Linked DNA regions of Drosophila melanogaster. The protein of the gene in region 1 interacts with the protein of each later gene in a pairwise test. Each region holds a gene or a part of one and is shown on either strand. Other genes may lie near its edges.

Region 1 (8,328 bases):
GCCTGCGTGCCATCAACAACAAGGATGAGTAAGATTCAGATATTGATCTAGATCCTTATGGATTTGGTGGATCCATCGCATCGCCTTGTATAGGTCGTTCTGTAGAAAGTAGCTAAGACATTTTCACATATTTATTGAAATCCTTCGCAAAATAAATAGCAAACTTTAAATACACTTTTGTCAAATACGATCTTTTATTATTACATACATATACATATAAAAATGTGTGTTTTTCTGTTTTGTTGGCTTTTCATCCGCTAGTGTGTGCTTTTTGTTTGTTGTAGACATTTTTCCGGGCTGCTCCGGAAAACTCTAGATATTTCCAAGGAAACATTATTGCATCTCTCTGAGTTCGTGAGTTTTCCAGATTTCCACCCTTTTGCTGTTACTAGCCACACACGCATTTTTATCATTATAATTTTCTTGTCGTGTCACTCTCTTTTCAAGTAAAATTATTGCTTTTTGCTCTTCGCTTAGAAGACTTGGGTCTTAAACTAATTTAATTTGTAATTGTAGTGTTATGTTTGTTGCTTTTTTGTTGTTGTTGTTGTTGTTGGGTTCGTGCTATAATTTAATACTAATTTTACACGAGCATTTCTCATTTACAACCAGTTAAAAACTAGTATATATACTTTAGGGTTTTCGGTACTCGTTTCAACTCACAATTAAGGAAACTCTGGGCTTAATCTTAATACCAATTGGATGAAATCAATTTTGATTAATTCACATACACGCTTCCTGTATGGCACCTATATAAAAAAATATAATGAACTAAAAACAAAAAGAAAAGTTCTTTTTGTTAGGATTCTCCGCTTACATGCGGTTTTTTCCAGCAAACAAAATTATATTTTATTCGGTATACGTTGTGTGTGTGTTTTCGAGTTCTTCAATTAAATTCTTCGATGTGGAAACAAAATTAGATTTTCGATGGAATCACAATTGAAATTTCGTTTTTTTCTTTTATGGAAATCTGTAGCTAACTTTATATACAAAGTCATTACATGTATATACTTTTCATATGGCAGCTTTGTTCAGTCCGATATTGCAGTTGAAACTATTTGTTTTACCATTTTTCACTGGTGTTTCCCGAATATTTATTCGATTTCTAGTGGTTTTTTACTCTCTATAATATATGATTCGTGAATGGTTTCGTTTGAAGTTGAGGGATTGGGATTGGAATTGGGTTAGCACAAACAATAAACACAGTAAAAGTTAAAAATTCCAACAGTAGTATTACACAATTACAACACAACAAGCACGAACGGAAAATAAATAGAATGAAATGTAGTTTCCCCGTTTCGGTATCCAAAAGGGGAAACTAAAAGTTAAACTTTAAAATATAAATCATAATAGCGACATTGCGGATCTGTATACTGTTTTCGCATTCGGCTATACTAAGGTACATAAGTTAGTCGTGGCACTAAAGAGCCGGCTTTAAAACTCCCTCCGCTGTTTTCACTGCCCCTCAACTTCAAAGCGTGGAGATCAATCGATCCAGGGTTAGGGTTCTTGGATCTGCGAAGTTTCTTAATACTTTTGCACGGATATGGATATGGATATGGATGGATGGATGGATGGATGGATGGATGGATGGATGAATCGATGGGCAAATGCCTGGTGGGTGTATGGTTCACGATGAGATGATGTGACAATTTGGGAATGGAGCTAGTAGTTAGTCTGGTAAGTTCATTTGGCGCATGAGTTTCATTCGACGATTATGTTTTTAAATACATTTATTCTCGTGTTTATCAACTGGTTCTTGCTAGGTTCTTGTCGCTCTCTCGGGCTTGTTGTATATAAGGCAAACTGTATGCGAATCATACATATATTGAACTATGTAAATACGTTTATCATTCTGTCAGTTAAATGCCGGGGAAGATCCTGGGAGAAGCGCTGTCGTCTATAAATGTCTATGAGCTGGAGCATGGCACAACTGTTAGTTCATCTAGTCCTGGTTCTGAGTGGCTATCCAAAAAATTGACCAACGGTGTAAAAACGGGTGTGTGAATGCTTGTATATATATCTGTATATATAAATCTTGTATATGCTACACGACTCTATCCACGACTCTAAGCCCTAAGTGCTGACACAGTGACACTGTTCACTGGTAGAGTGCCGCCTCCTCTGGCTCTCTATCGTCCTAACTTCCCACTTACCTACGAGATTTTATTTATTTTTTTTTTGTGTGTAAATTCAGGATTATCTCTACTTGGCCGCCGCTGCCGCTGCTGTGGCATTGGCCGGCGAAACTTTCAGCTTGATGAACATGCTATTGTCGCCATTGGTGCCGCTGTTCAAGTCCAGCTTCTGCACCTCGCACTCCAGATTGTTGATGCAGTTCTTCTCGTACTGCGTTGTTCCGTTGTCCGAGGCGGCGGCTTTTTCTGTCGGCTGTTCACTGGGCGCCACCTTCTTCTCTTTGCTCTTTTTCAGCGCATTCAGCAGGGTCTTCTCTTTGCTCTTGCCCTCCTTGTGACTATTGTCCTTGTCCTTGTGCTTGTTGTTCTTGAAGCGCGGGAAGATGCAGCCGTTGGGCAGGAAGCCGCCCAGTTTCTCCTTCTTTGCGGGAGCAGCAGGTGGAGGAGTTGCTGTAACGACGGGAGCAACAACGGGAGTTGGAGTTGGACTGGGCGATGATGTGGCTGTGGCTGTTACTGTGGGTGTTGCGTGGCTGGGTGTGGGAGTGCTAGCACCATTTGTGGCTGCCGGTGGTGCAACCTTTACTTCTGGTTCGTTCTCCACTGCCACCGGCTGATTGTCCAGCACAGTTGTTGATCCATTCAGCGAGCTGCCTGCATCCGTTTGATCCACGCAAGCATCCTCCGAAACTGGCGATTGCTCCTGCTGCTCACCCTGCTCGCTGGCCACTTTGTTGTCCAGCTGCTGGGCAAACACGGCCAGGGTGATGCCATTGCCATTGCCATTTCCCTGCTCTACCAGCAGCGGCTCAGACAAGTGAGCCGGCGGCGAGCTGGCCTCGTTCACTGCAGCACCAGCACTAGCTGCCCGCGATGCATCCGGCGATTTGGGAAACATCTGTTGCGTGGTGATGTTCTGGTAGTGCTGCTGCTGGCGCTGCTGCATCATCTGCTCCTCCCTCTCGCGATCGCGCTGCGCCTGAACGGCATTCCAGACATCCTTCAGCTCGCCGGAGATATCGCGATCCTTGAGTATTACGGCGTTTCTGGAGATGTATTACATATATTTTTATTCTTGTTTTTAATCGGGCAGTAAACTAATAGTGTTATTATATACCTGACTAATTTCACGCCTGGATTCATAGCCTCCACAAAGTCGCACATCAGCTCCACCATAGCTCGTCGCTCCTCAGGATCTTTGCTGTGACGTCCGGAGTCTTTGAGCACCTCCGGATTGGCCATTACGGCAAAGACAATGGGAGGACTGCGTGGGCTGCCAGGCGGTACCTTAATGAATAAGAACATTAACATAAATAACTAATAAAGGAAACACCGACGTGAATGTTTGAGGACACTTAATCTAAGGAATCTTACCCGCATGCCTCCGTAAAGGGGAATGGGATCGCTGGGCTCCTGCGGTATCACAATGCGCGTCCAGCTGAGGACATTGATGAAGAGCTCCTCGCCCGCCTCCGTGGTGGTGCGGATGCACATGTGGGGCTGTGGCGGATTCTTGAAGTGGCGATAGGCCCGCGAATGTCGGTAGCTGTGCGGCGGCGGTGAGGAGTTCATCAGACTGAGGCCGAGTCCTGTGATGCCATTGTTGCTATTGCCCTCGAGTTCCTGCTGCTGCTGCGGATCCTGGTGCATCTGAAGCTGGGTTTCCGTATCTAAATTATTGTTGTAGCTATTTGTTGTGGTTGCATTTGCATTGATGGCAGTGTTTGTATTTATCTCCTCGCTTTGTGATTGATTTTGTTGTTGTTGCTGGGATTGTTGCTCCTGGGCTGAAGCCTCCGCCTCGAGTTCGGCCGCAGACATGGTTTTGGATTTTATATAACTATTCGGCAGTCTTTAGTTTAATCAGTTTCAATAAGATATCCTTTTGTTTCTCATTCGTTCACTGGGATACGTTTGAATTCGCCATGCGGCGAGTGTGTCGTGCGGCGAATTCGTTAGCCGTGTTTTTCGTCCTCTTTGTTCTACCACGCACTCACACCAAAACACCAGCTCTCTCGCTCTCGCTTACAGGTCGCCTTCATACAACATTATTATTGCTCCTTGGATCCTGGCTGCGTGCCTAACCTGTGACCTTTGGCGTAATTAATGGACTTGCCTGCATATTAGGGCCTACGGCGTATTATACCCCACACAGTTGACACTAATATCCTCCAGAAATTCAAAGTCTTTTTATCTGGCACGCACACGAATGCAAAACACCCTTCTGCCTTCCTACACACGCACAAGTGGGAGTTGGTTGACTACGGGGGAGGTGGGTGAAGAAGAGAAGAGAAGACAAGGTGAAAACATGAAAATGGAAAAGTTCAAAGCGTTTGCGGTGCCACACTTACACATTTCACTGATTTTCATTTATAATAATCACTTTTCCATTGCACCATGCACACAAAAACACACACAAACAAACGGGCGCAGTTACATACTTATGTATATATGTATATATACACACACGATGCGTTTTCCTGACTCGCACTCACATAATTTCCCATTAGAATGGGCAAACAATGCAGGCAGCGGAACGTGTGTGCTGCGCTGATTTTTATATTTAGCTTTTTAGCAGCTTTTCATGGCAGACGGACACACGGAAAACAGCCGATTTTTCCGACAACCCAACATAAACAAAAAACTAATGGGTCAGTGTGGCCAGATGGGGTTGCTGCGCAATTTCAGAGCGTTGCCATTAGACAAGAAACACCAGGGCTGTCGTTACATATGTAAACAAACAATAATTTAAAACTGCATTTAAAAATAAAACAAAAAATTGAATAAATCTTTAATAAATATTAAGCAAAAGGTCATTACAAGTTTATTTCACACAAAGTACGAAATCGATTAATTCCATAATCTAGTTCAACGAACCAGTTCTGCTCATCATCAATCAATTCACGTGCAGCCCTCGTCCAGCCGGTTAATTTTTTTGCACAAGCGCTGGACAGAAAAGTGTAATTAAGCGGCTTAAAACGGGTTTACATTTATAGTATAACTTGTAAATAAACAGTTAAGGATTATAATATTATTGGAATACAAGTTTCCAACGCACAACCAAAGGATTTGGTAGAAAGTCGGCCAGCTTGTCCCGCAAATTTTCCCACAGGGGTGTGTGTATAACAAAATGGCGTCCTCGCAAGTCTCAAACAAATCGGGCTCCGGTTGGCCGCGCCGCGGAAGCCAAGGCCAAGCGGATGCAGCCAGCAGCAATAACAACGGTACCCAGAAGTACACCAACCAGGCGCTAACCATCAATCGCACCATCAACTTGTGGGTACAACACATTTCATTCATAGACGCACATCATAGATCGATCGATTGTTTCAGATACCCCCTTACGAACTACACATTCGGCACCAAGGAGCCGCTCTTTGAGAAGGATCCGTCGGTGCCATCCCGATTCCAGCGGATGCGCGAGGAATTCGACCGGATCGGAATGCGGCGCTCCGTCGAGGGAGTGCTTCTGGTCCACGAGCACGGACTGCCACATGTCTTGCTCCTGCAGCTGGGCACCACGTTCTTCAAATTGCCCGGTGGCGAGCTAAACGCCGGCGAGGATGAGGTCGAGGGCCTCAAGAGATTGCTATCCGAGGTAAGTCAAACGTGGCGCCATAGTTAAATATTGTTATTTGATCTTAACTATCACTACTTTTATTATTTCGTAGACGCTGGGTCGTCAGGACGGCGTAAAGCAGGAGTGGATTGTTGAGGACACGATTGGGAACTGGTGGCGGCCGAACTTTGAGCCACCGCAATATCCATACATTCCGCCGCACATCACCAAGCCCAAGGAGCACAAGCGGCTTTTCCTCGTCCAGCTACATGAAAAGGGTAAATATCCGCAGGGCGTTTTGTAAGTCCCTACGCGTAGGTATAACGAGCACACCGTGTATCCAGAATATCCATCTCTCCATGTACTTTATATAACCTATAGATTGTTTTTGTTTGCCAAAAACCGAATACGCTAACAAACCTCATGTCATATCTTTTCAATGCTGTTTAGATACGGACGGGAACGCCAGTTACGATGTACCCTGAGCAGTTCCATTAGCGCCGTGTGTGTCGTATCTACCCAACTCTAATCTCAAGAGTGCAATGCCATAGAACAACAAATCGAGCAAACAGAACAGATCAAACAGAAAAGAAACAAACAGATCGCAAAAGCTGGCGCAGGCGACTCCTTAGTTAGTTTTGATTCTAGTCCAATTGTACAACATGTCGAAAATCAAATTCAAATTGTATTTTTGCTCAGGACTGAGTGTTGGCATATTTTGTTATTTCCCGATTTTTATCATTCGAAATTCAAAGATTGTTCTTGTACTTAATTTTGTAAATATGTCGACATACTTGTGAGACTGAGCGCAGCAATGTTATCCTTCTATTTACATATTTTATTTATTTCCTAGCTTCTATTCTTACTTTTGTGAAGTGTCATGTGTCGTTCATCTTAAGGTTGTTGTGTATTTATCGAAAGCAATCCAATCCATCGGGCAGGCAGCAGAAGAGCATTGTAACGTTGCTGGCTGTCGCAGTCATGTGCCCAAATCTCGCGTGTTTTGCAGATTTGCACGCATGCTGGGCAGTCAGGTCGCAAGTCGCTCCTTAAATTAAGCACTCGTTTATGTAAACACAAGCAAATACTGTTTATACCTTTTTTGGCCCTTACGCATTCGCTGTGCGCTGAAATGAACTGATGTTGTCCACCAGCTGAAGCATTTCAGCGCACAATTCGAACCGCACTTATCATGTATAATGTTGCTCTAAATTGAAATTATGTTCATAACTGATATTAGGAGACATCGCTGGGCCAGCAAAGTGCCGGTCATGCTTTGCAAGTCGCAGCGAATCCAATTAATTAGTCTAACGTAACCAACTATGAATGTAAAACGAAACGCATACGACTCTTTATATCATACGGCTGCGAAATGATTCTTAATATGTAAATTGTACAACCGATTGTAATATCCCTAGATGATATATCCTGTGAATTTCAATGTTCGTTGATATCTCTACATACATGAATTCTGTCTCTATCGTTTTCCGTAATCTAGCACTATTTGCTGTACCCAAAAATTATAAGCTTGTTGCTGCGCCATTATTCGAGCTATACGACAACTCGCAAGGATATGGACCCATTATCTCATCTCTGCCGCAGGCCCTCTGCAGGTAAGTTCGTAACGCATATCGAAGTTTATAGATTGCCGCCCCACTTACATATACATACGCTTCCTCACTGCAGATTCAACTTTATCTACATGTAAGGGCAGACGGAGGAGGGGCCCACGTCCAGCAATAGTTAAGCATCAACAGCAGCAGCAGCAGCACCAACGATAGCGCTACCTAACTGATTTCAGCACCACAGATCAGCCCGTAGATTTCCATTTCATGTGTGTGTGTAAACGTACATAATTGTATTGCAGATAAAATGGAAAGCCAGTCTCTTTCACTTGGCAAATAGAGTCGACAAAATTTTGTGCTTTATTTGTATATCTTCATCTTTAATATCTATTTGCATTTTGGGGGTTTTGTTCTATCAACTAAATGTTAGACAATGTTTAAGAAATTTTAAGTATGGTTATGAAGATGCATTCTGGCCAACTGGCGCTATCCCTATAGCATGTACTCGGCATAGATTTGTTCGAAATATTCTCGTTTTCTGTAATTGGAAGATACACACGGGCTGGATAACATTAAGGGCTATTGCAAATTCACAGTACAAAGCGAAATTATTAATAAAGGATCTTTTCAACCAAAGACGAGTATGTGTTGTAAAATTATCTAGCTCAGTACCGGCGGCAATTAATCTACGTATATTTCAATTTGCTATTGTTAACGTTTAATTGTGAGGCTCTAGTTTAGTTTACGGATGCTCTTCGGTGTGCGTGGCTTGTAACAAATGAACAAATCAACAAAAGTCGGAGAAGAAGCTCACAACGAAATCATCGAACTGAAGTACAGGAACCGTTTGGTGTGTTATTTTGATTAGACAATACAATCTTACAGACTAGATTAGATTTTTGTTTAATTATGCTTATGCCACACGTACAAAAGATGTTAGCAAATATTGCGTGCCTTCTGGTTTGTGACTTCGACTTCACCACAACTTATTGTGATAGAACTTTAGATCGTAGTAGCCCTGATCGGTGAGGCCGCCGCCGCCGGAGGACACGGTGGACATGGCATC
Region 2 (6,731 bases), on another chromosome or scaffold:
TTCTTATTTTCTAATTACTATATATATGCATGTTGGCTGCGCCCGGTTCGCTGTGGGCGTGGTGTATCTGTAATTAGTGTTTTGCACACACATATTCATATCAAATGCCGGCATAGTCGCTGCTTAATAAATTAAACGACAATTTGCACTGGGACCGTGCTGTTGCTCGTAAAGAGTCCGGGATCCTGAAAACTGGGACATTAAGCTGGCATTAGGCAGAGGCAGGCCTGCAATTAAAATAAAATGGAGAGCTCAAGCGTCGACGACAATATGCACTATAAGGCAGACAAAAATGTGTTTTTTACTGCGCAGAATGCGTACTAAGGAGACCTCGAAAATAATTTATTGCCTTCTTGTGGGTGCCAAGGATCGCGCAAAAAGCCGCAAATTTATTTGCCGCTCTTATCGCTCTATCCATGTAGAAATAAAGCATAGAGCATATTTTTTTAATATTTTCTATATTTTTTCCTATTGTTGATTTCTTATGCCATTTTCGGCTGATGTGCACAAACAGAAATCTCTTGTATGGCTAACTTTTTAATAAATAATCTCGGCCATTTAGCTGGTTGCAAGCAAAAAATACATAAACACGCAAAATAATAATCAGCATCTGTCGTCGTTGCCGTTTGATTGTCAATACAAAATATTTATATCGCTAACACAATTTGCCAAACAAATTGGCCAGCTCGGCGAAATTTGATTTGATTTATTCCTTTCAGCACTCTCGGATAGGTTTTTTAAAATATTGCGTTTTTTTAGCATAAGCTTTAGTTTAGTTTCCATGGTTTGGTTCGGGTTTTTGCGCTTGAAATAATTGATATCGGCTATTTGCATATCAGATTTAATATATTTGCATATATTTCTTTTGCAAAAGAGAAACGATTTTGCGGCAAGCCAGTCAGCTTTTTGGGTAACATTTTTTGTTTTTTATTTGTCGCCAGGCATGCGGAAATAATTTTGGCAACTAAAACTCGTATCTAGAGAAGAATAGAAACGGTCTGCTCGTAAAAGAGTTCGAAAAGCCGGCAGCTCCAAACATTTTTGCAAAAGAAAGGCTAGAAGCAAACAAACTCGTTTAACTGGGGTTTAACTGGCAAATTTGTCGTTCGTAAATAAAGCTTATGATTTAAGGAAATTACTAATGCTCCAATTTATGGTGAGGCGACAGATTTGATTGGATTTTTGCACCTGAAAGGCACCGCCCGGTTTTGACACCAGCCAGGTGATAGCCGAATAAATTAAATGCACAATTTTATTCGTTTCGACATTCTGGTGGGTGCCAGTACAATGGCAATAAAATAATATAGGGGCAGTCTTGTTGTCTCGAAGAGAGAAAGACTAAAAATAATGGATAAAATAATAAACAGTGTCAGATTTTGTAAATAGATCGATTGACCCAAAAGGCCATTTACATAAAGTGGTGCCAGAAATTCCCTCCCGTAGATGTTTTTTGTCCGCTTGAGCCGTTTTTTTTTTATTTATTTATTGATACGCCAACGTCGTCCGACCGCTATTATCTTCGATTTCGTGCTGGAAACTCTTTTCCCGCGTTTTGACCACTTTTTATGTCGCTGCTGCGTGCATCTTTTATGTGCGTGTGGCGCCCGAGACCTTGAAATTGTGGCTGGGTTGTTTTATTATGCTTACATTTGATTAGTTTGCATATGACATTGCCACCAGCGACTAACTTGGCTGAGATGCTGGCCAATCGGCGAGCCGCAACAGTTGGCAGTGGGCAAAAGGTGGGGCCGCACACAAAGCCAAGACAAATTGTTTTTGACTTTAGGTTATTGCTTCGAATGTGAATCTTAATTGGATCCCGGCCAGCGTGGAATGGGGGGCATCATATAGCATCATTAGATATAGAACCATATAGAACTTGTGTGTGTCCGTCACTGAAAATGATATCATGGTTGTGATGTCTTAGCGGATTTCCTAACTGACCCCATCTTCGAGTTACTCATCGCTATAGTTATCCGTGATATCAATCAATATATATATTAGTCATAACCGCGATTGGCATTCGCCACTATTGATTTGCAAATCGGTTCGGCTATCTTAAATATGGATCTTGGGTATTTCTCCTAAATTATGCAAATCAAATCAGTTTTCAGCGGATTTGCTGCTGCCTCTACCCCCCTTCTGCTCGAAAACTTTGCCGAAATAAAATAAAAAACCATAATTTTTATGATATCAATAAACCATGATGAAAAACGTGATAATCGCTGATCAGATTAAATGGTCGCCTGGCGCCAGCTGATTACCGCCGAATTCCGAATAGCTTCGGGTGCTGGTCAACAGTAAAAAACCTCAAGGTCGCAACGGTTGTTAGCTTTATGGCTTCTATTTTGCGAAGCCGTGTTTTTGCCACAGGTTAAATGGCCAAGCGACGAGCTCCGGACAAATGGACAGATGGGCCGTCGGATAGATGGACGGATGAATGAATGGATGCGCAAAAAGGCTGGCGAAAATTGATTTCTATCCATTTCAGATCCATTGTTTTTCAACCCTACCACAGTCCACAGTCCAGTGTTCGGGTTTTATATGGCCAAACCCTAGAGCAGCCAGTTCCATACACCATACACCATACACCATACCATACCATATACCATATACAATATTCCAAATACCAAAGGGGGACGCAATAATCGCTGGGGATTCCCAGCTAGAAATATGCGGCTGGATCAACTAAAAAGTGTAGAAAAACCGAGTCGTTTTCGAACTCGTTTGGATGCTCCGCTAAATGTTTTAGCATACAAAATATGAAGAAAATCATTTCATTTACTGAAAGCATGACCATTTATAGTAGTGGCTTTTGCTAAACGAGTTTTCAGCCGTTTCCTCCGCCGAGAGCCTGCTCTATTGGATTACAACTTGACGGGTAGGGTCGTGTGCCTAAAAATTTTCGATGATGGTACTACGACTTGGACTGAGGGATCGTGGAATTAGCATAATGTCGACGCCAACATTTGCAAGAATAGGGCGGCCAGGTATCGATGCGCTTTGTTCACGTCGGCTTGGCCATTGTTTTATCGCACAAGCTTCGTTTTTCGAAGGTGGATAGCATTTCAAGAGACAAAAGCTGCCGAAGAAGTTACCAAAAAATGCTGCGGAGCCAACAAATACAACGATGGTAAAGTCTGCATGAACTTGAGCGCAGTTTAGTGACACCGATCGTTGGTTTTCGTATAAATATTGGACCTTTCGGTGATGCAAACGTCAGACACAACCAAGTGGTCAAAGTCAAAGAACTAAATTCAAAATGCGTGCCTTCATTGTAAGTATACGTTCGATCGCCGACGAAATACTCCAAAAGGATACCAAGGATTACAATGCTGTTTTCTTTATCTCCAGGTTATGTGCTTGGTGGCAGTCGCCTGCGCCGATAAGCTCGGCTACAACTACCAGCCCGTGGGACACTCCAGCTCCGGACTGTCCTTTGCTCCTGGAAGTGGCAGCATTGGAGGTGGCTCCATCGGAGGAGGCAGCATCGGAGGAGGCAGCATCGGAGGCGGCAGCATCGGAGGCGGCAGCATCGGAGGCGGCAGCATCGGAGGATCCATTGGTGGTGGTTCCATTGGAGCCAGCATCGGAAGCGGTGCCGGTCTGGGTGGTCTGAGCAGCATTGGTGGTGGAAGCATTGGCAGCATCGGAAGCATTGGTGGTGGTGACGCCCTCAGTGCCCCCGTCTCCTACAACGCCCCTGCCCCAACCGCCGAGCTGGAGAAGGAGTTCTTCACCTTCACCGCCAACGAGCAGGACTTCGATGAGCCCCAGCAGCTGGAGCGTGTGTCCTCTGCCCTGAACAAGGCCCTGCGCGTTGTCTTCATCAAGGGACCCGAGAACCGTGGCCTGGAGAACGCCGCCCTGGCCCTCGCCAAGCAGGCTGCCCAGCAGGAGACCGCCATCTATGTCCTGAACAAGCAGGCCGATATTGGAGATCTGGCCAACAAGCTGAACGCCATCCGCAGCAACAACAACAACAAGCCCGAGGTGCACTTCGTCAAGTACCGCACTCCCGAGGACGCTGCCAACGCCCAGCGCGCCATCCAGGGTCAGTACGACCAGCTGGGAGGATCCAGCCAGGCCCACAACGGTGGTGTTGCCCCCGTCCTGAACTTCGCTTCCGCCGCTCCAGTGCGTCAGGCCGCCGCCCAGAGCCCCGACAACTCCTACCTGCCATCTTCGGTCTTCCGTCGCGTCTAAGTCGCTCGTTTCACTCCTTTCGGAATCGAAAACGCCAGCGATTTTTGACTGATATTAAATCGTAGTTTTTGTTGACTAATGCTTAAATAAATTCAATTCTTAAATTTTAAAACCAATTTGACTTGTTGTAGTGCATTTGTAAAAACCAAAAAACTTTGCAGGCTGAGTTCATTGGGAACGAAACTTCGCAAGTTCGGATTTATTTGCAGCGAAATATTTTCTTGCAAACTTTGAAAGCGCACATAAGTAGAAGCACTTATATATTTCTTAGGAACTAGTTTATACTTTAACCATATTCAAAATTTAATACCAGTTTATGGCTGCTGAGATCTTGGGTTTTGAACAAGTATTTTTATTTCTTCTTTCTTCTTTCTTTCTGTTTTTATTCGATTATCGCTGCTATAAATAGGTATACAATTTATTTTGAAAACTGTTGCATACTTATGTTGCTTTCGTCAATTTTTAAAGGAATTAACCAAATGAAAATACAATAATTTACATAACCAAATTAGATAACTTTTATTCGAAAACAACGTTTAACAATCGATTTTCTAGTGACGCAGGCGACTCAGGATGTTGGCGGGTAGGTAGTTGCTCTGGGGCACCTGTTGAGGAGTAACGCGTGCTGGAGCAGCTCCCTGGGATGCAAAGTTGATGGCATTAGCCACGCCACCGTTGATGGACTGGCTGGAGCCGCCGAGTTGATCGTACTGCGATTGGATTGCCCGCTGGGCATTGGCAGCATCCTCAGGTGTCCTGTACTTGACGAAGTGCACCTCGGGCTTCTTGTTGGCATTCTGGCGCACGGCATTGAATTTCTGGGCCAGCTCGTTGATATCAGTCTGTTTGTGCAGCACATATATGGCAGTCTGCTGCTGGGCCGCCTGTTTAGCCAGGGCCAAAACGGCATTCTCGTAGCCACGGTTCTCCGGCGACTTGATGAAGATGACGCGAATGTTCTTCTTGACCGAGGCAAGAGCCCTCTGGAGAGCAGCCTTATCCTCGAAGTCGTCATCGTTGGCATAGAAGCTGTAGAACTCCTTGTGAACTGACGCCTGGGGAGCGGCACTATAGCTAACTGGTCCCGCCAGTGCAGGGACTGGGGATACACCACTGCCCCCAATACTGGTTGTCGCACCTTGTCCGTAATTATATCCGGACAAGCTACCGGCACTTGCCGCTGCCACAATGCTTAGAATAATGAGGGCACGCATATTGACCCGATGCCTACGAGATATTCTAGACGAATGAATAATATAGCATTCATTATCTACCTTTTATACCGCCAACGCGACGACGTTTAAAATTAGACTAGAAAATCTAGTCAATTGAGCCGTCTAGTCACTTTGGGGTCCCTCTGGCGGAACACGGCGATCATCGATCTCCGCTCACGAATCGTGACTCGCGAATGGCCAGTGGCTATTGGCCATCGGGTTTTCGGAATGCTGTTAATCTGCTAACATAATTTCGCTCTTAACACATTTAACACATTGTTGTGGGCAAAAGACAGCTTCAATCGTGCCGCCGACTGAGATGAGATTCCGAATCGAAGTCCGAGTCCGAGCTAAGATCCGATTGCGAGTCCAGTCGTTTTCCGAACTATCGTGATTCACCCATAATTGGCTTATAATTTATGCACAAATAAAAGAAAAATAACCGATCTCTTGGCTGTTTCAATCGGATTGTTTTGTTATATTTGCTTGAATATGTATACAGAACCGCTTATTTGTTAATGATTTCAACAAAAAAGTGATCGTCAGCTTAATAAAATTAATGATTAGACTTTGTTTTTATGGCTAATCAGGTTTCGATTGGGCATAAATCTTCATTGCCTTCGTATGTGGGTTGCACTTGAGATTCCTTTCTAATTGTACGTGACACACGACGGGCCTCGGAAACCAGGTCATCTAACAGTTGTTGGCATCTTCGCGACCTTGAGCTGTCGTCGGGAAAGAACCAGTTCCTCGTTGGCCGGGAGTCCGGTATTAATGCTTCCCGCTGGCCAAGTGGGTGGATCTAATCTTGTAGTCAATTAATTTGGCGGCATGCGAGTTGGCTATGTCAGATAATTAGTCCATTGATTTGTATGGAAAGTCTAGGTGAATATGATTCGACGAGGGCTTAAACTCATAAAGGAAACCTGCTCCGAACTGCCTTTCCTGATCTTGATGTCGTCAATTCGAGATATTTATAGTTTGAAGGGCACTTTTTATACTTAACCCATCCGCAAACAATCAAGCCAAACAAGGCGGACTTAATGCACCATTAGCTACTATGGCCAAGCCGCAATAAAAATCTCACTCTATAAAACACATAAGGTAGACCTTTGTTTAAATTTTCGTATTTAAATTTCAAATTTATTGGTGTAATTATGCATTAGTCAACAACGTGTAACAGGAAGAATGAGTTCTTCAGTCGAGATTTGCTTAAGTTAATGGAGTCCAAGATGTAGCCTTCCTAGAAACGCAGACGACGGAACACAGAAGTGGGCAGGTAGGCGTTGTCGGGGATCTGGGCGTTAGCCT
Region 3 (6,504 bases), on another chromosome or scaffold:
AAACTAATTGATAATAGTAATAATAAGAGTTATAAAATAATTTTTAAGCATTACAGTAATGTTGTGTGTTGTTTTGTGTGTGGTGTTTTTCTTATCGACAACGTCATGCTGACGATTCGATTGAACAACAAAAGGATGATAAATGTATACATGTAAATATGAATGATAGATTGGATCAATGTGTCGCTGGTATAGCTCCTTGGCGTGCACCTCTCCTACAACGGTACGTGAATGGTCTACTGTTCGGGAATGGACGACAGTGATCGAATCTGGCGTTCCTGCTGATCCACCTTAAGCACGCTCGCCACGGATGCGGCGCGCCAACTGGATGTCCTTAGGCATGATTGTCACGCGCTTGGCGTGGATAGCGCACAAGTTGGTGTCCTCGAAGAGACCCACCAGGTACGCCTCAGATGCTTCCTGTAAGTCAAGAGAAATTCATATGAGTTGGATAACCAAGTTCCTTTTAGATATTAGTAGCCCCCCCTTCATAATCCCATGAATCCTGTCATTTTTAGTTAAGTTAAGCCACTCTGATTCTTTGGAGCATAATTCTCACCTGCAAGGCACCGATGGCAGCCGACTGGAAACGCAGATCGGTCTTGAAATCCTGAGCGATTTCACGAACCAGACGCTGGAAGGGCAGCTTGCGGATGAGCAACTCGGTCGACTTCTGGTAACGACGGATCTCACGAAGAGCCACAGTTCCGGGACGATAACGATGGGGCTTCTTCACTCCGCCGGTGGATGGCGCCGATTTACGGGCAGCCTTGGTGGCTAGCTGCTTACGAGGAGCCTTTCCTCCGGTCGACTTACGGGCAGTCTGCTTAGTACGAGCCATGTTTTCTTAGCTTTTTTTTTTAAACTGCAATTAAGAGAATGGGAAATGCAAATGTTAGATTTTGCGCGTTCCAGATTGACACAGATTAAATAAACACTTCTACAATCATTGTTTGGTTGGTACCCAAAATAAACACGCTGATCCTCGCCAGATGAGAAAGACAACTCGATGAACTGGGCACAAACTCTAAACTATTCGTCCAGCACAGGCGCAGTGCACGATGCAATTGGCCAGGATACGATTGTGCTGTGTCGTGGACTCTTGACGGATATACACGGATGGATATCGCTGGGAGCCAAAGTTTGGACCGATGCACAGCGCCGAAGCGCTGGCGGCCAACTGACGAGGAACTTTGGTTCGTGGTCATAACGATAACGAGGGTTGAAGGTGAAATTTTTTTGAGGCAGCTGCCTGCTTTTCCTTCTTGCCCCCCATTTCAAATATTTTCCCATCTTCTGGGAACGAGGCACTCGAGAAACTTCCACTTCAGTGGCAAAGGAATAAATCGTGCCTCGGCAGCAAAACACTCAGAAAAATAATAGTGTGATCCATATTTATATTGGTGTGCAAATGAAGCTTAGCTAAGATGATTCTAAAGTTTTCACATTACTTATAATTAAAAAAACTTAAGAAACATTTCTGATAATTCATAAAGGTGGTCCATAAAAAAACCCTAATTTATCCGTTCTAAATAGCAATAGGAATACCATCTAATTCTCAATTGGTGGTATAGATATATTACATCTGCTTTTCTCGCTGTGTAGTTGTTCCACGATGGAGGACCACTTGAAAATCTCATTTCTTTTCTTCGCGGGCAAACATCGTGAGTCGCCGTTTTTTGTGTTCCCCTTCTTTTTATGTACAGCCTCTTGAGTTTTTTTCGCGCTTTATGCGGAATCAATCACGCTGAAGTAATGAGTTGTAGTTTTCAATTTATAATTACTTGTGCAGGCAAGAGGAAAATATCAAATAAAAGGAAGCCAAAGAAAACGAAAAAAATTCTTCGACTGGTAGCGCCAAAAGAGTAAACATAAACAAAAGGAAGGAAAATCAAGCGGTAAAAACTTGGCGCGCATTGAAAGGCGGCAAGTCGAAGGGAGATGCCTATAGGGGCACGTTCGCGTTAGAAAGAGAAGAAAGGTGTGCCAGCAGTTAATTGCGTCGTTTCTCCGCTAAACAGCATGTGTGTGCGTGTAGATGTGACAGCTGCACATCCTCACAAAAGAGAATGCCAAAGGAAAAAGAAAATAAAAAGCAATTATGCAATAACATACGGGAAAAGCTGGCGGTGGGAAAGAGAGATGGCACACACTGCGCATGACAAGCGCAGCCATGCACATTTGCATTTGTTAACCAATGTGCGTGTTTAGTATACACACACATCAACGCGCGTGCCACTTAAGAAATAAATAAATAACTTTTATATGTTTATGCCAACCAGCATAAATACGATTACTCATACTTTTTGGCGCCAGTTTTCGCACATTGGCAAATCGTTTTTATTTATTTTTTTAATTTTCTTTTTGCCAATTTCATCAACGACTGCAACTTTTTTATTTCTTGCTATTCTCCTGCTTGGCGGCCATTTTGGAAAAAAAAAAAAAGCAGCGCACCTCACCATTACAACTAAAACAACAATGCAACCAACAGTCGTGCGAATACGAGACCTCTCACATCTTCGTGTATTTGTGTATGTATCCACCAGCGAGAATGCGCCTGTGTGTGTGCGGTGAAAAATAGGGCTCCGCTGGACGGCCGGCGGAGCCCCAAAAACGGCAAAACATAAACTCAGGCGATTCACAACGAAAAAAAAATTTGGAAAACAGTGCACACACGCACATATTCAGCGGCCACAAGCACGTGCGTTTTAAGAACCACACTTAGTATTATAAGTATTTAGCAATAAAAAAAAACTCACCGTTAAACACGGAATAAAGTTATTCTTCACAATTTGTCACTTTCAACACGAGACGAACAAATTCGGACGAGAGAAATTTTCACAATGATTTCGTTTCGTTGAGATCTAGAGATGGTAGCCTAGTAGGCGAAGGCCTACTTCGATTGTATTCGATTACACTCGATTGTCTGACAAGACCATGCCCGCCAAATAGTTTGGTTCTGTTCTTTGCTAATTACATTTTTATAACTTTTTAAAATTTTTTTAACTCCAACCTAAGATTAAAAATGAATATGTTTTAATGGGTTGGACTCTGCTAATTTTAATGAAATATAAGCTTCATTAAGCAAAAAAAAAGCCAAGTTCTTTTATGGATTGTGGGTTTCTCTCTGCAGAGAACTTTATTTTAGTGCATTGTGTGTTACATTTGAGTTGAACGAACGTGCATACTACTGCGACTTCTTGTCCTCCTTGGCGGCCCTGCCCACGGGCTCATCCTTGAAGTGAAGGAACACGAATGAGAAGACAAACACGCCGATCATCATTGAGAAGGCGCTGGTGTAGTAGGGGAATGCGCTCGGGATAAAGCGCTCGTACTGTGTGTGCTCCAGCGGACGCACCGACACCTGGGTGGTGCTGTACAGATGCGTGTAGCCCACGCGATTGTAGTCCACCTTGAACTGATAAACGCCGTAGACGTCGGGTATCTTGAATTTGGCCTGGTAGGCGCCCGTGTTCGTTTGCTTCAGATAGGTGCGGACGAAGGGATCGATGCGCACGAACTCCAGTTGAATGTCGCTGGCCTTAAAGGCGCGCCACTCGCCCTGCACCAGCTCCTCGATGCCGATGGTGTAGACGACCGGATCGGTGATGGTGTACGCCTGATCCGGTGGCAGCAGCTCGCCCTCCTTGTGATGTTGCACGGATGCCACGCGCAAGCGGCCAGTCTCTCCAAATACCCACTTGCTAATGGACTCGGCCACGTCGCGATTACCGGCCAGCTTGTGGAACACACCGCTCTGTGCGTACTGCACGGCCGTTGTGAAGCTCTCGTCAGAGAAGAAGAGCAGCGAGCCGGAGAACACTACGCGGGCATTGTTCCTCGCCTGCAGGGCGGCGATTAGCAGCGTGCCTCGGCCAACGGCATGCGGATAGTCGGAGACACTTGCCTCGGGATTGTAGCTATAGGCGGTGCTCTCGGCGGTCAGCAGCTTGAGTACCAGCGGGTTCTCCTTGTCGGCAATCAGTCCTGTACCGCGATAGAGCAGCGGTGCGGCATCCGCCTGCCTGTTGGCCTTGCCCACAATGGTGTCGGCCTGTATAAGATTCTTGGCGGAGGTCAGGATGGTTGTGTGCTCGCCAGCATCGCTAACATCGTAGTGCAGATGGTCAATGACCGCCGCATTCTCCTCGTCCAGCTCGAAGCCGCACTCGGAGGCGAATTCCCTTAGCGCGTCGCCGGATTTCTCGCTGCCCGCCACCAGAACATTGCCGCCATCGTCGACGAACTGGGCCAAACGCTCCACGCTCACATCGCCGCCGAATTCCTCGACACTTGGTGCGAATATGATGACGTTCTTGTACAGATATTCACCGTATTTGGACAGCAGCAGGCTGGAGTCATCCGCCAGTTTGTAGGTGAGCTTAAATCCGCGATCTGTAGCCCAAAGTTAAACAATTATCAACACATTTCATTGTCCACGTCAGAGGTTAACCGGCATTTTCACTCACCCTGCAGCGATTTGAAGAAGATCGAGTGGGTTTCCCGGATGGCCAGGTTGTCCAGCAGAACCAAGGTGTTGGCGTCCGTTTCCAGTACCGCCTGGCAGTGGGCAATCGCCAAAACGGCGATCAGGAGAGCCTTCCACATCATTTTATCCAACTAAAACACAAAATTCTCTCCGGCTTTTCTTGAAAAAAAAAAATGACTGGCTGTCAGTGTGGCCGAATACTGGTAGGGTGTGCCAAAATATATACAAATATACCAGAAGGAATTCAAGAAATTATAAAAAATCGATGATTTGATTAATAATCGATTACATTTACTAGCCAATTTATAAACAAAACATTTTAATTCAAATTTTAGATTGTGAATAACATTCCTTAGCAACAACCATAATGGACATATTCGAGAGCTTCTGTCGCACGTGCGGAAACGAATGCCTGGAATCGCTGTCCATTTACAATGAGTGTGCCCAAGTGCTTGACCAGATGGTGCCCATTGCGGATATGCTAGCGTCCTGCCTGCCCGCCTCCTTGCCGCCACTGGACCCAGAGGACGACTATCCCAAACAGATCTGCCGCATCTGCGTGAAGAAGCTGTCGATGGCCTACGAGTTCAGCCACCAGTGGCTGGGCGCCCACGGCGAGTTCAACGTGGCCCTAAAGTTCGAGCAGCGCCGAAGGCGCAGCCAGGCCAGCAAATCCCAGTCGCACACGCAAACCCAAACTCATCCGGTGGAACCGAAGAATGAGCAACTGCCCACGGTGCTGGCGGAAGCAGTGTCGACCAAAAGAGGTGGGTGTACAATTTTCTTATCTAGGCTAGGTAGATTTCAAACTTCTCAATCTTCCCCAGCAGCTGCTACTCCCACCAACGAGTTCAGCAGCGACTCCGGACCGGCCTTCAAGTGCGGCTTCTGCGGCGAATGTTTTTACACGGAGAAGGCCTGCAAATTTCACTTAAAGTTCTCGCACAAGGATCTTTAGAGAACTGTCTGTTTTTTCCCTTACTTGTAATTTGGTTTTAAGTGTATAAATCTTTTGTGAAATTAATTTTAAATTAGGAATATATATATATATTCCTTCTCTTTATACAAGTGCCTTCTTTGAGTTTTTAAACCCAAAACGTTGCAATTGTAGGGATATAGAGTGCATTTGTGTAAGTATGAAACACAAAAAAAACCTGGAAAACTACTACCCGCTATAGTTGAACCACTGAACACTGGCTTTTGTACATTTGGATGTTTGTTTTACTTAGCTTTAGAGTAAACAAAAAAAAATCAAAGATGAAAGCCGACAGGATTTTTCCGAAGGGTCCAACTCCTCTAGTCATCCTCGTCGTTGCGCACCTTCAGGGCGCGCGGATCGTCGTGGCGGTAGACAACGTAGCCGAGCTTGTAGCGTCGGTTATCGCCGTCCTTGGCATAGTAGTTGGCCACTCCGATGGTGGCCATAACGATTCCGGCGAGGGCCAAAGCGGATCCGCCGACGATGTCCGGAATCTCGTTCCAGGCGCGCTTCAGCAGCGATGTGGAGCCTCGGGCAGCGGATGCGGACATCTTGGTACACTGCGGGATGGGGCTATTAGTTCACTGGGCGCAGCAAATAAAATTATAAAGCATTTACCAAAAATTCAACGCGTTCAGTTAAGTTACACAACGAACAAACCAAACAGCTGATTAGAGCTGGCCTGCTGGCTATCGATACTCGCTATCGCCGCACAGATGCAGGCAACGAAATTTCGATAGACTGAATATTGAAATAAAAAAGCTTTTTGAATTATCTTCGTGACAAATGATTTATTCTAGAACTGCAACTAGATGTAATATTTTCAACGTTATGTGGAAATTTGTTCGAATTTTGTTTATTTGCTGCTTAGGATTCTTTAAAAAAAAGTATTTTGCTAAATAAAAATTTTCGCCATTGAGAGTACGATTTTTATATTCGTGACTTGTCGAGTAAAAGTGTAGACTAGATTCGTTTAGAAGTAAAAGAACAGGCAATAGGAAGAGTTTCCGACCATCCTAAGTATATATATTCTTGA
Region 4 (10,785 bases), on another chromosome or scaffold:
GTGATTTTCGATTCGAAAAAGCATACAAAACACAAACATAAGTTTATTTCGATTATCAACAAAGCACAAATTGGATACACACATTATACACTTCCCTGCTCTGTTTTCACTTTTTATGATCGTTGAACTTGAACTTGTCAGTGGACTTAAGCTTACTCATCTTGAAAATAAGCAAAAACAGAGCCTGAAAACTGTAAATCATGCTTAGCCAAGTTGGTTTAAGCCACGTTTTTGCTTCCCGGTCTTTTGTTTTCGTCTGGACCGCAATGAAGGTCGCTCAAGTTGTTTTTTCTTATTTCTGTAATGGAAAGGGAAACAAAGTAAACATAATTTTTTAGTCTTAAATGGCTGTGACTTCAAGGATCGCGTTCCAGCGCTCTTCCAGTCGGTCCGCTCTCTTAAGCCTCTCTTGGAGCTTCCAATATTCCCGACTTTGCTGCATAGGCTTCATTGCTGTGGAAGGCTCGAAACTCGAATCATTTGGCGCCGAGCAGCCAGACTTATCGGTCGTTGCAGTCTCGTCTTTGGTTTCGAAATTTATCCAAAAGCAAAGATAACGATCCATTGGGAGTAATCATATTGTGTAAATAAAGCATATTATTCATTTAAAATCGCATTGTTGTATTCGAGTTGAAAACATTTAAATATAGTGTATAGTGTGTGATTTGTGAAAGTGATTTGAGTGGCTTGCCAATAGATTAAAACTCCCCAAAACTGAAAACTAGTTTTTTATTACAGGATATTAAGCCAAATCAATTATATCAACCATTAACTAAATGCACACACCTATTCACTGGAAACAATGATTGGTTAGCTAGTCGCAGATTCATTAAGAGCTACAAATTTTTAATGTCATAACTATCAGCATTTGTAATTATCATTCTTGAGCCACAAAAACGCTGGTAAAAGTAAATAATTACGATTAAACTAATCATTATTACACACCTTTGCAAAAATGAATTTAAAAGACTGTATTATAACCAAAATGAATGCCATAAATTAATTATCGCGTAATAGAGAAAAGCTTACGTAACTTGTGATTAGACAACGTGAAACGCAGGGAAAACTCTTGTTACCACCCTCGTTGCATTTTATGGTTATGGCTTACGATTGTTGCAACAAACATCTGGCTTCCCCATTGCAGCAGGCCATGTGTCTGCCTCTTGCCAAGAAAATAAAAGAGCCTGAATGTGCAACTGGCCAAAGCGAAGAGAACGGCCAAAAGAGAAAAAAGAGTCACTTGCACTTTTTTGAGCCCCTGTCATCGGGACAGTGGAGTACGGAGAAATTTCAAATGGGGCGACTTTAATTTATATAATGTTCATTTATAGATCAATAGAAGTGTTGAGTTTATTTCTAAGCAATTTTGAGATTCTATATAAATTCTATATAAATCTAGTAAAATTTCTTTAAATACTTGAATGAAGAAAAATGTTAAAAATATTTGCTTAAATCTTAATATATTTAATTATCAATATAGACCCCCTTTCCTACGCTCCTGCATCCCGTTTTTTTTTCGTATGGGTTTGTCTCTTTTCTGTGTGCCACATTGGAGTGCACGTAATTTTCCATTTAGTGGCAGGCAAATCGAAAACGAAAGTGGAAATGTTGCACTGTCGCCGGTGGCTCCAGCACCTCCTCGCTCGCCCACGCCGCTCGCTCTTGGCCAGCCGGTTGTAAATCCGAGGAAGAAACTTAAATAAAAAAAACCAACAACAACAACTCCTCCTCGCCAAACTCAAAAGCCAAAAATTGTGAAAAGGAAATCCGCAAATGCGGAAGAGACCGTCCAAACTCAGTCCAGTCCAGTCAGTCAGTCAAACGATCCGTGACTCAAGACCATTATCTTTCATTATAGCCATTGCACCGCACTTGGTTCTGCCCGATTGAGCTGTCAAAGGGCACCGGATTTGGGAAGCCAGGGAACCCAACCCATATACCCGATAAGAAACCCTCACCATGATAGAACGGGAAATTATCCAGTAAGTGTTAATCCTTATCGGTGGTTTGTCCACACATATGGCACGGATGAAATGTCACAATCAGTTGGTGCAGTTTAAGCAATATAGTTGATATGTTGAAATTAATATTTATTTACAGCTCTAAATATGTTATAATTTATAATATTTACTATTTCATTTGTTTAGTAGCTCTGGTTAAATCTATCAATATATGTAAATGCTTTTTCCAACCCAGGCAGCCTTGACTATGATTCCCTTGGCCAACAACGGGAGTACCCGAAAAAGGGGGCCAAGACCCAGTGTCAATATTTCGAGGCGCCTTGAGCCCCACCAGCATTCTCCAATATCTTATGTTGTACTATATTATGGGGTCTTGGCAAAGTCCGAGCCGAGCGCTTGAACATTGCACATGCAGCGGGCGCATACAAATAGATAAATTAAATCATTTGGGGGTTTGTCGAGACTCGACTTTGTTTCAATATTTGCCAACTCGGAGTGGCCAGCAAACGCTTCTAGCTGTTGCGAATTTCGCTACGATCGGTGCACTATATATGTATGTTCTATATTGCAGCACAACACCTGCCTCGAAGCGCATCTTCGACGTCCTCAAGGATGTCCTGCAATTTTTCGAGCTCTATGTGCGAATTCTGTTGGAGCTGTTTGTGTCGCTGGTGCAGATTGTGCTGCCCAAAAAGCAGAAGGATGTCAGCGGGGAGATAGTTTTGGTAAGAGCATTACATGTGCAAAAATAACATAATAAGTTAATACCAACTTGTATTTGCGCAGATAACCGGAACTGGGCATGGAATTGGTCGGGAGTTGGCCCTACACTATGCTTCATTGGGTAGCACAGTGGTTTGTGTGGATATCGATGGCAAAAATAATCTGCAGACGGTGGAGAAGGCCAAACGGCTCAATCTCGGCGAGGTTTACAGCTACAGGTATTAAGTATACTTACTAAATGTTTAAATAAATAATAACATTATGTTCAACATTGGCAGCTGCGATGTTTCCAAGCGCGATGAGGTTACGGCACTGGCGGATCGGATCAAGTCGGATGTTGGATGCATATCGGTGCTGGTTAATAATGTGGGCATAATGCCAACGCATCCCATTCTGCAGCAATCGGCCGAGGAAATCCAGCGGGTCTTCGACGTGAACGTGTTCTCGCAGTTCTGGACCATCCAGGCCTTCTTGCCGCACATGCAGGAGAAGTGTCGTGGCCACATCATTTGCATGTCCTCCATTGCCGGCTTGGTGGGCATCTCCAACCTGGTGCCCTATTGTGCCACCAAATTCGCTGTACGCGGTCTGATGGAGGCACTGCATGCCGAATTACGACAGGGACCTTTCAGGGATCTGGTAGAATAACCATGTGAATGTGCTAGATTATGTGATCCATGTGTGAATCCATTTACAGATTCGAACCACCACCATCTTTCCCTATATGACCAACACTGGCCTCTGCAAGCATCCCAAGGTGAAGTTCCCATCGATCCTGGGCCTGCTCGATCCCAAGCAGGTGGCCAAAAGGATCGTGGAGGCTCATCGCACCGACCTCATGGAGGTAACCATCCCGAGCTGCCTCCTCTACATCAACAACTGGACGCGACTCCTGCCCGATCATTGCGGCCTGATGCTTAAGGACTTTATCGACAGCGGTGTGGAGTCGGATTTGATTTAGTTTACCTTCTATATTCATATATTAGATCTTAGATCGAACTACAATATGTTGCAGTACAATAAACTTACTATTGGAGTATGCATTAAAATAAAGCTATAGAGATTTTCAGCTTGGTACAAAGTAAGTGCACAGTTTACCATTTTGATCATTATCAAAAAATTATTTGATTTATTTTGTATTCTAACTTATAATTTAACATCTATGCATATAAGCCAAGTATTTATTAGTTTGGGCAGATTAGATGAATAACATCCTCTCAGTTTATAATGTTTTAAAATTACGTACAACAAAGAAAATTACTTTAATGAATTTCATTAGTTCGTTATTATTGGAGTTACCTGTTGCATTGAAATCGATACATAATCGATAATCGATACATCTGGCTATAGCTAAATTTACCTGCACTGTCAACTCCACTGCAAATCAGCTGTGTGATGAAAACAAAAGGCGATGGCTTGCGAAGTAAAACACTGCGGAGAAATCCGTGATTTTAAGAAAGTCCAAGAATACTTTGGACTCGGACATGGTAAGATAAGACAAGTCTCTGCAGCAAGTATTCATAGCTAAACCGATCCGTGCAGATGACAACTGGTTAAACGCGATAAACCATGCCATTTCACCAACTGGGGAACTGATTGCCATGGCGCAGGGTGAAAAGTTGGCATTCCTCAGCACCTGCTGGAGCAGCCATGGCAATGGCAACACCTACGTTCTTGGCTGGTGCGGCGAGCTGGAGGATCCCAACCAAATCGTGACTAGCCTCACCTGCTTGCCGATGACTCAGAACAAAAGCACCGATGGAGCCATCGAATGGACCTGCGTGGCAGTTGGCCTGTGCTCTGGCATGGTTACCTTCTACACGGACTCGGGTGTAAAACTCTTCTCGCAATGGTTAGTTGTGGAATTAAATGTATCTACGGCATTAACCATCTATATTTTTCAAGTTGCCAAGAGGATCCAGTAATTGGAGTCAAGCTGCAGTCCGCTCCGCGACATTCTGAGGCAGATTCACTGCTCTACATCATCTATCCTCGCTGCCTGTGCTTCATCCAGGGCCAGGACATTTTGCCCACGCTGAACAATTGCCGGCACAATGTGCAAAGAGGTGCATTGGAGCGTAGTTCGTATCCCACTGCTGATGTGGTGCCATTCCAGAAGTATAAGTTCAAGCAAGAACGAGAGGCCGTCATTAATGATGCTGCCATCTCTACCACCCAGCGACCTCCCACATACGACTACATTGTTCAGCAGACCATCGGTCTCGGTTATTTCGCCAAGGTGCACGCCACGCCGCCGAGGAGCTCACAGGTTCTGGCCGCCGGAGCAGAACCCTATTTGGGCTTCTTTCAGGCGGAGGAGGGTTATAAAACGATGTCGCTGGGTGAGGTTGCCAAAGACGTAATCGGAATAGCTTACAAGAACCTGCTGGGCGGAATCTTTCGACGCGCTCCAGAGCCCCTGCCATCGCCCGAGGAATCACCACTGCCGGTGCCCACGAAAGAAGCACCGATGCGGATTCGCTGTCGTCTATATGACGGCAAGAGAGATGGACTGACCTTGTCTGTGGCACCTGGTGGACGCCTGGCTGTCGTTACCGATAATCTCGACCGTGTAATGTTGGTGGATACGCACCAGGCTATTATCTTGCGTGTTTGGAAGGGCTATCGAGATGCACAGTGCGCATTCGTGCCAGTTAAAGAAAAATCCGTTCGCGGTATCAAAACGCACAAGCGAAAGGCTTTGTTCCTGGTGATCTACGCTCCTCGAATGGGCTGCCTGGACATATGGGCTTTGCAAAACGGACCCAAGGTGGCTGCATTCAATGTTTCGAAGAGCGGGCAACTTATGTACAACAATCATAGTCCCCTAGGCTCAGGCGGCAGCAGTGGATCTGGTAATAGCAGTAGTCAGTCAAGAAAATCTTTAGCCATCAATCATTGCTTGTTCCTGGACCCCAGCGATGGCAGCCTGAAGGAGATACACATTCCTTTTCACTACGCGCTCAGCGAGACCAGCTCCCAGACATCACGGGATATCCATATGCTGAGGCGCCTCAGAAACCAGCTCAGAACCATAAACCATGGCCAAGCCAAAGATGAAGCGCTGCAGGAGATTGGCGAACTGGCAAGTGAACTGCAGACGTTAGAGGTGCGACAACAGTGTCTGGAGATGTTGCTTAAGAGCAAGAAGCTGCAGCCACAGGTGTTTCAATCCATCATTAATGCCTTCATAAAGAAACCTCTTTCTGAATCAACGGGCTCCGAGGAGTTTGTCAACCAAATCGAGAACTATAAACGCTTGACTGATCTCTACTTGGCCCTAAGTCAAGCCAATCAGCGTGAAGACAACGAGCCACCCGTAGAATACTTGGAGCTTTCCGATGCTGATCTTGTCACCATTAACAAGTTGGTTCTGCTCCTGGACGATGGCACCGAGAAGGATAAACCCGCCGCCACTCGTGAAGTGAGCTTCAAGTTGCAGGCGGAGCACAAGACCGAAGAATTTGTCGATTACCTGAGCATCTTTAACATCGATAGTCCGGATGGGATAAGTCTACTTCCGGAGAAGTCAGATAAGTTTGGCGCCGTAAGCATCGATCTCTTTAGTCAGTTCTTTGCCCAAGGTCTATGCTTTGGCCAATTCAAGCAGTGGATCAATCAGGCGTGTTTGCCCAGCAGAGATTTGCTTAAATTGATTATTTGGTTTTGGCTTGAGAAGCCCTTTAAGTACAACAACTGGTGAGAAAAACATATTTTATAAATTCCGTTCTCAATTTATGTGCAATCTACTTTTCTTACTTTAGTGATGAAGTAGTGGAGGACATGTCCAGAATTGCTGCTATGGTGCAGACCATTTGTGATCTGGCTGGTGAACACATCCATGACTATGCCTACAATGCCATTTCACCGTGGTGGCAGGAAGTTCGGGAACTTCTCTTGGAGAGTAAACAATTTTCGGGCTTGCTGGTGGCCATTGTATGCAAAACGGTAGCGACTAATTTGTGGCGAAACAGAAAAGAGGTAGGTCTACTCCTAGTCATTAAAATCAAAAACTCTTTTGCGAAAAACACTTTTTCCTTAGGGATCTTGTGATGAATCCTCGCAGAACGAAGATGATGAGCGCTGGGAGCGTATCTCCCACGATGAGGCTCAGTGGGGATTGCTCACTGGCAAGCTAGAGGATGTGGCCGTGCTAGGAGCCATACTAAGGTAAGTGCCAAATCAATCGTTCCACTTAGCTCCTTTATGAACCACTGCTTCCTTCGCAGTAAGCCTCTCATCTGCCGGGATCCTGTTGGTCCAGAGATGTCCTACGAGCCACCGGACTGCAGTCTCAAAAGCATTGTGAGCAGTGGCAAAGGCATCGTCACCGAACTGACAGCCAAGTGGCTGATCAGTGCACAATTGCATCCGAGTAAAGTTTTGGAGATATCGCCTCCCGAAAACGAGTTAGACGACGAGAGCAAAGTTAAGATAAAGGATGAGCCTACCAAGGAGTCAGTCGATGAAGACGCGGAATCAGAAGAGGATTTGGAAATGGCAAAGGAAGTGTACGCGGCGAGTAAAGAAGCCCATGAACCTATTCTTGAAAGATTGGCTCTGCTGCGTGCGCATTTTCCCTTCAGCTTGGAATCGGGCGTCCTCTTAAGTCTCATGTCGTGGCAGTACATGGTCCAGTGGAGCAAGCAGCTCTCATCGCTGGACCACCTAAAGGCAGCATTACTTTGTTTAAACCAATTCCGTACACCTGACTGGGCCCTGAAGCATGGAATATGTTGCATGCTGTGGAATGCCACCCTGAAGTTTCCTCTACAGGCGGCGGCGAAGCTTATTCAAAAAGTGGGACGCCTGCCAGTGGACAAGATGTGCCAGCAAGATCTCGAGATGTCTGCGGGTAAAGTGCCAGAGTTTCTAGAACTCAGCCTCGAATTCCTGCAGCATTTCACCGCTTCCATGGAGCACGATAAGCGTGAACTGCACTTCGAGCAGTCGCTCAGCGAAGGAGCCCTGCCATTGCAGTTTCTGGCTCTCCAGCAGCACCATGCCATGCCGCAGCTGCTCCGTCTTCAAACAGAACTGTGCAGCGTGCTGCACTTCGTTTCCTTTTTCCAGCTGCGCATTCCAAAACCACTGACCACGCTTTTTGACTCCATGAGCAACAAAGCTCTGCTGGCGGACATCAATAAGGAACTGCCTTATGTTTTGCCTGCACCAGATCTTGTCCTGCAACAGCAGCGCACTGAGTTCCTGTGTCGCCTTGTCACCGCTACCATGGATCTGATTAGAGAGGATTTGGAGCAGCTGTACATTCTCGATCATGTTTTCTACATGGGCAAGATCTGTGCCTTAGCCGACAGTTGGGAGGTCGATAAACTTCCTATCCTACGACGGCAGGTAAGAATGTACATACATATATGATCCCAGAATTCCTAATCTAGGAACCCATGAACACACATGACAGGGAGCTTACAATCCCTTTTGCCTTTCAACATCAGTTCGTTAGTTTGCTCCGTAGAGAGCACAACAGAGGAAACACAATGGAATAGAAAATATATTCCAAATATTTTTCCCTCCTCCAGGTGGTGGAACTGTACGCTTTTGGGTATGATGCGGAGGCTCAAGTGTTGCTCCAGGACATCAGCGATGACGAGGAGCTGGGCCGACTGCTGCTGGAGATCGCTGGCCGTAGACTTAATCTTTACGCACAGAGCTCGCAGTCCACGTTCCTGAAGATTGCCTCTGTTGGCCACCAGTTGCTGGCCTACCTAGACAACCTGGTAAGTGCTGCAAGCGCATATATCATTCGCAGTACTGATCCATTTCTCACGCCGCTTACGCAGAAGGAACCGATGACGGAGAACAACATTCAGATCGCGGCCACCAAGCCCGACGAGATCGATGTGGCTGCCCTGGACAGGCTGTTGTCGCATGCCTACAAATACCTTTGCCGGCGCGAGTCCAAGCAGCTGCCCATCATTGGCCAGATGTACAACGCCGTGCGTATCCTGCAGAATTAGGAGTGAGGATGACACATAAACACTTGGTTATTTTACATTTCTCTCATGATTTTTATGGATTCAAGAATGAACCCAATATTGATTGTTAAAGCACCACATGCGGTCCCATTAATTGTCTTATACTTATCAACCTAGTAGCGATTTAAACAACCTACGAAAAGCATCATATTAATTACTTTCAAGAAAAAGGATACTAAGATCTGCACCGATAGGAGGATGTATTCAACACGAATTTGATGTGAAGCTTATGCCTACAAGGATTATGAACATGTATATTTAATAAAATAAAAAAAAAAATTTTAATATTCTTTTACTAAATTTAAGGGATACCAAAAGATAAAATAACAATACTTTCTTTATTGATGCCCAACGTAATTTAATTTATATTTGAGCAGGGATCCAAGCGGGTCTTTGAACTTCGTGCCTTGGGCGCTGCCTCCAAGTTCTCCGCCTGTATTCGTCCGATTGCCTCCGGCGTGGGCAATCTCTCCGGCATCATGGTGGCGTGCACTTTGAGATGAGTGTAGACGGCAATGTAGCTCTGGCTGGTGTCCAGTTCGATGGGTGGACTCTGCTCTATGCGGCCAGGCAGGGCAAAGTGCTTGCCAAGAATGGGTTCCTTGAGAGATCGGGCCAGAATTTTTTGCAGTCCATCGCGGTCGGTGTCCAACTGCTCGCTGTTGAAACTTGAATTCATTGAGAATTAATTGAATCTAAGGATTTTGAATTCCAATGTGTAGTCCCTGGAGTTTTATCCGAACAAAAGATACGACGACCCGAGTTGCACTAGGTTAGTGGCACTGACTCCGACTAATCGAAAAACAACAGTTCCTCCTTCATGGCAACAAGTAGTTCAGTTTGGCATACCTTTCGTTTGCGAGGAGCCACCTCGGTTATGACTTATTTATTATTCGAGGCAGAAAGTTGATTCTCTGGTTTGTTCAATTTGGGAACTCGGCTGGGACACGCAAGGCCAAGAAGCAAAGAACTTGTTTCGTGGGTGAAGTTTATCATGTTGATAAACATGTAGAATAATGAGGAATGTCGTTAGAGACAGTTTCATGTGGTTCCTTAATAGTCGCAGGATTGCTTTTATAGGCATACAGTAAACTCACGATAGTGCTGACCTGACCATCTATTTTCTTCGTTAAATAAGTACGCTCAAATAGAATACGTTTGTATATAGATGTGTATTGGGCTTAGCTACAGAATGGGTTATAGAGGTTGAACAATCACTTAAGGGTTTACTAGGCTAGGGTCTCTACAGGCAGCGGGCAATCAGTTCGTTGATGGCAGTGCCACGATCGCCGTACTCGCCACCGCGTTTGTACGAGACGGATACCTTCTTTTGCCAACCATTGCTGGGACTGGACAACTGGAAAAAACCAAATGGCGGTAATAGTATAGTTTTAAGAATTGCAAAAGAGAAGTTGTTAACCAACCGTGAAGGCGCACAGAAACTCATTTACAGCGGCGAAGTTTGGACCCACTGTGCAAATTTCGTGGATTATATCCTCCAGACAGATGACACCCTTGTCGCCCAGCTGTTGCTCCACCATGGTGTTCGACTGGATGGCCGTCTTCTTGCCGTCGATGCGGGCGAAGCCCTTCTTGAAGACCAGCTCGCGAATGGAGCTCAGCGAGGGATTGCCGTAGACTACAAAGGGTTCGATAACGCGCAGCAGCAACTGGTTCTCCTTGGTGTTCTCCATGAAGACGGCGTTGTGGCGCGAGCCCATGCGCAGGGTTCGGAATATATCCGCGGTGGTCTTGTCGAAGATCTTCTTGCCCGCATGGCGCATCACGAAGAGCAGTTTGGGATTGGAATCGTCGGCAGCTTTGGCACTTTGTTCGGTGACATTGGTGCGCAGAATGGTTTGCTTGATCCGCTTGGACGTGCGCTCTGCTTTCAGGTAGCCCATTACGAAGGATTCGGCACGGCGGAATTTGTGGTGATTCTTGGTGGCGGTTCTCTTTTTGATGCGGTCATTTCTTTTCTGCGTAACAACAGATTCATCCTGCAGAATTCTCCTCTTGCGATGCTTTAGCACCGACACTGTTTTGCCGGGCAATTTGTTGGGCACCGCATATCTAGGGATCAAAAGTATAAGATAATGTTTAGG

Evidence for each region.
Region 2: the proteins of Cpsf5 (region 1) and TwdlM interact in a two-hybrid assay, tested with the Drosophila melanogaster proteins (one large-scale study listed by BioGRID).
Region 3: the proteins of Cpsf5 (region 1) and Dlip1 interact in a two-hybrid assay, tested with the Drosophila melanogaster proteins (one large-scale study listed by BioGRID).
Region 4: the proteins of Cpsf5 (region 1) and Rab3-GAP interact in a two-hybrid assay, tested with the Drosophila melanogaster proteins (one large-scale study listed by BioGRID).

The regions. Positions count from the first base shown.
Region 1 is NT_037436.4:9,406,008-9,414,335, forward strand, and holds Cpsf5 (cleavage and polyadenylation specific factor 5), read left to right. Parts: upstream 1-5,030; 5' UTR 5,031-5,268; coding exon 5,269-5,414; intron 5,415-5,471; coding exon 5,472-5,736; intron 5,737-5,809; coding exon 5,810-5,975; intron 5,976-6,147; coding exon of another isoform or gene 6,148-6,182; exon of another isoform or gene 6,183-7,195; coding exon 7,196-7,310; intron 7,311-7,383; coding exon 7,384-7,405; 3' UTR 7,406-7,828; downstream 7,829-8,328. Other genes in the region: Cpr67B (cuticular protein 67B), read left to right, coding at 1-32; CG4022 (uncharacterized protein), read right to left, coding at 2,206-3,184, 3,256-3,425, 3,513-3,959; Atat (alpha-tubulin acetylase), read right to left, coding at 8,239-8,328.
Region 2 is NT_033777.3:26,615,905-26,622,635, forward strand, and holds TwdlM (TweedleM), read left to right. Parts: upstream 1-3,213; 5' UTR 3,214-3,262; coding exon 3,263-3,277; intron 3,278-3,354; coding exon 3,355-4,206; 3' UTR 4,207-4,320; downstream 4,321-6,731. Other genes in the region: TwdlP (TweedleP), read right to left, coding at 4,758-5,420; TwdlB (TweedleB), read right to left, coding at 6,664-6,731.
Region 3 is NC_004354.4:9,153,821-9,160,324, forward strand, and holds Dlip1 (dorsal interacting protein 1), read left to right. Parts: upstream 1-4,801; 5' UTR 4,802-4,856; coding exon 4,857-5,256; intron 5,257-5,316; coding exon 5,317-5,447; 3' UTR 5,448-5,555; downstream 5,556-6,504. Other genes in the region: His3.3B (histone H3.3B), read right to left, coding at 292-420, 560-841; Ost48 (oligosaccharyltransferase 48kD subunit), read right to left, coding at 3,188-4,395, 4,470-4,611; NdufA3 (NADH:ubiquinone oxidoreductase subunit A3), read right to left, coding at 5,786-6,019.
Region 4 is NT_033779.5:12,056,467-12,067,251, reverse strand, and holds Rab3-GAP (Rab3 GTPase activating protein), read left to right. Parts: upstream 1-4,067; 5' UTR 4,068-4,095; coding exon 4,096-4,171; intron 4,172-4,226; coding exon 4,227-4,536; intron 4,537-4,589; coding exon 4,590-6,383; intron 6,384-6,448; coding exon 6,449-6,665; intron 6,666-6,726; coding exon 6,727-6,854; intron 6,855-6,913; coding exon 6,914-8,039; intron 8,040-8,224; coding exon 8,225-8,422; intron 8,423-8,485; coding exon 8,486-8,662; 3' UTR 8,663-8,948; downstream 8,949-10,785. Other genes in the region: firl (firelighter), read left to right, coding at 1,960-1,982, 2,533-2,686, 2,748-2,902, 2,963-3,323, 3,382-3,645; CG34164 (uncharacterized protein), read right to left, coding at 9,039-9,359; RpL7-like (ribosomal protein L7-like), read right to left, coding at 9,924-10,037, 10,105-10,753.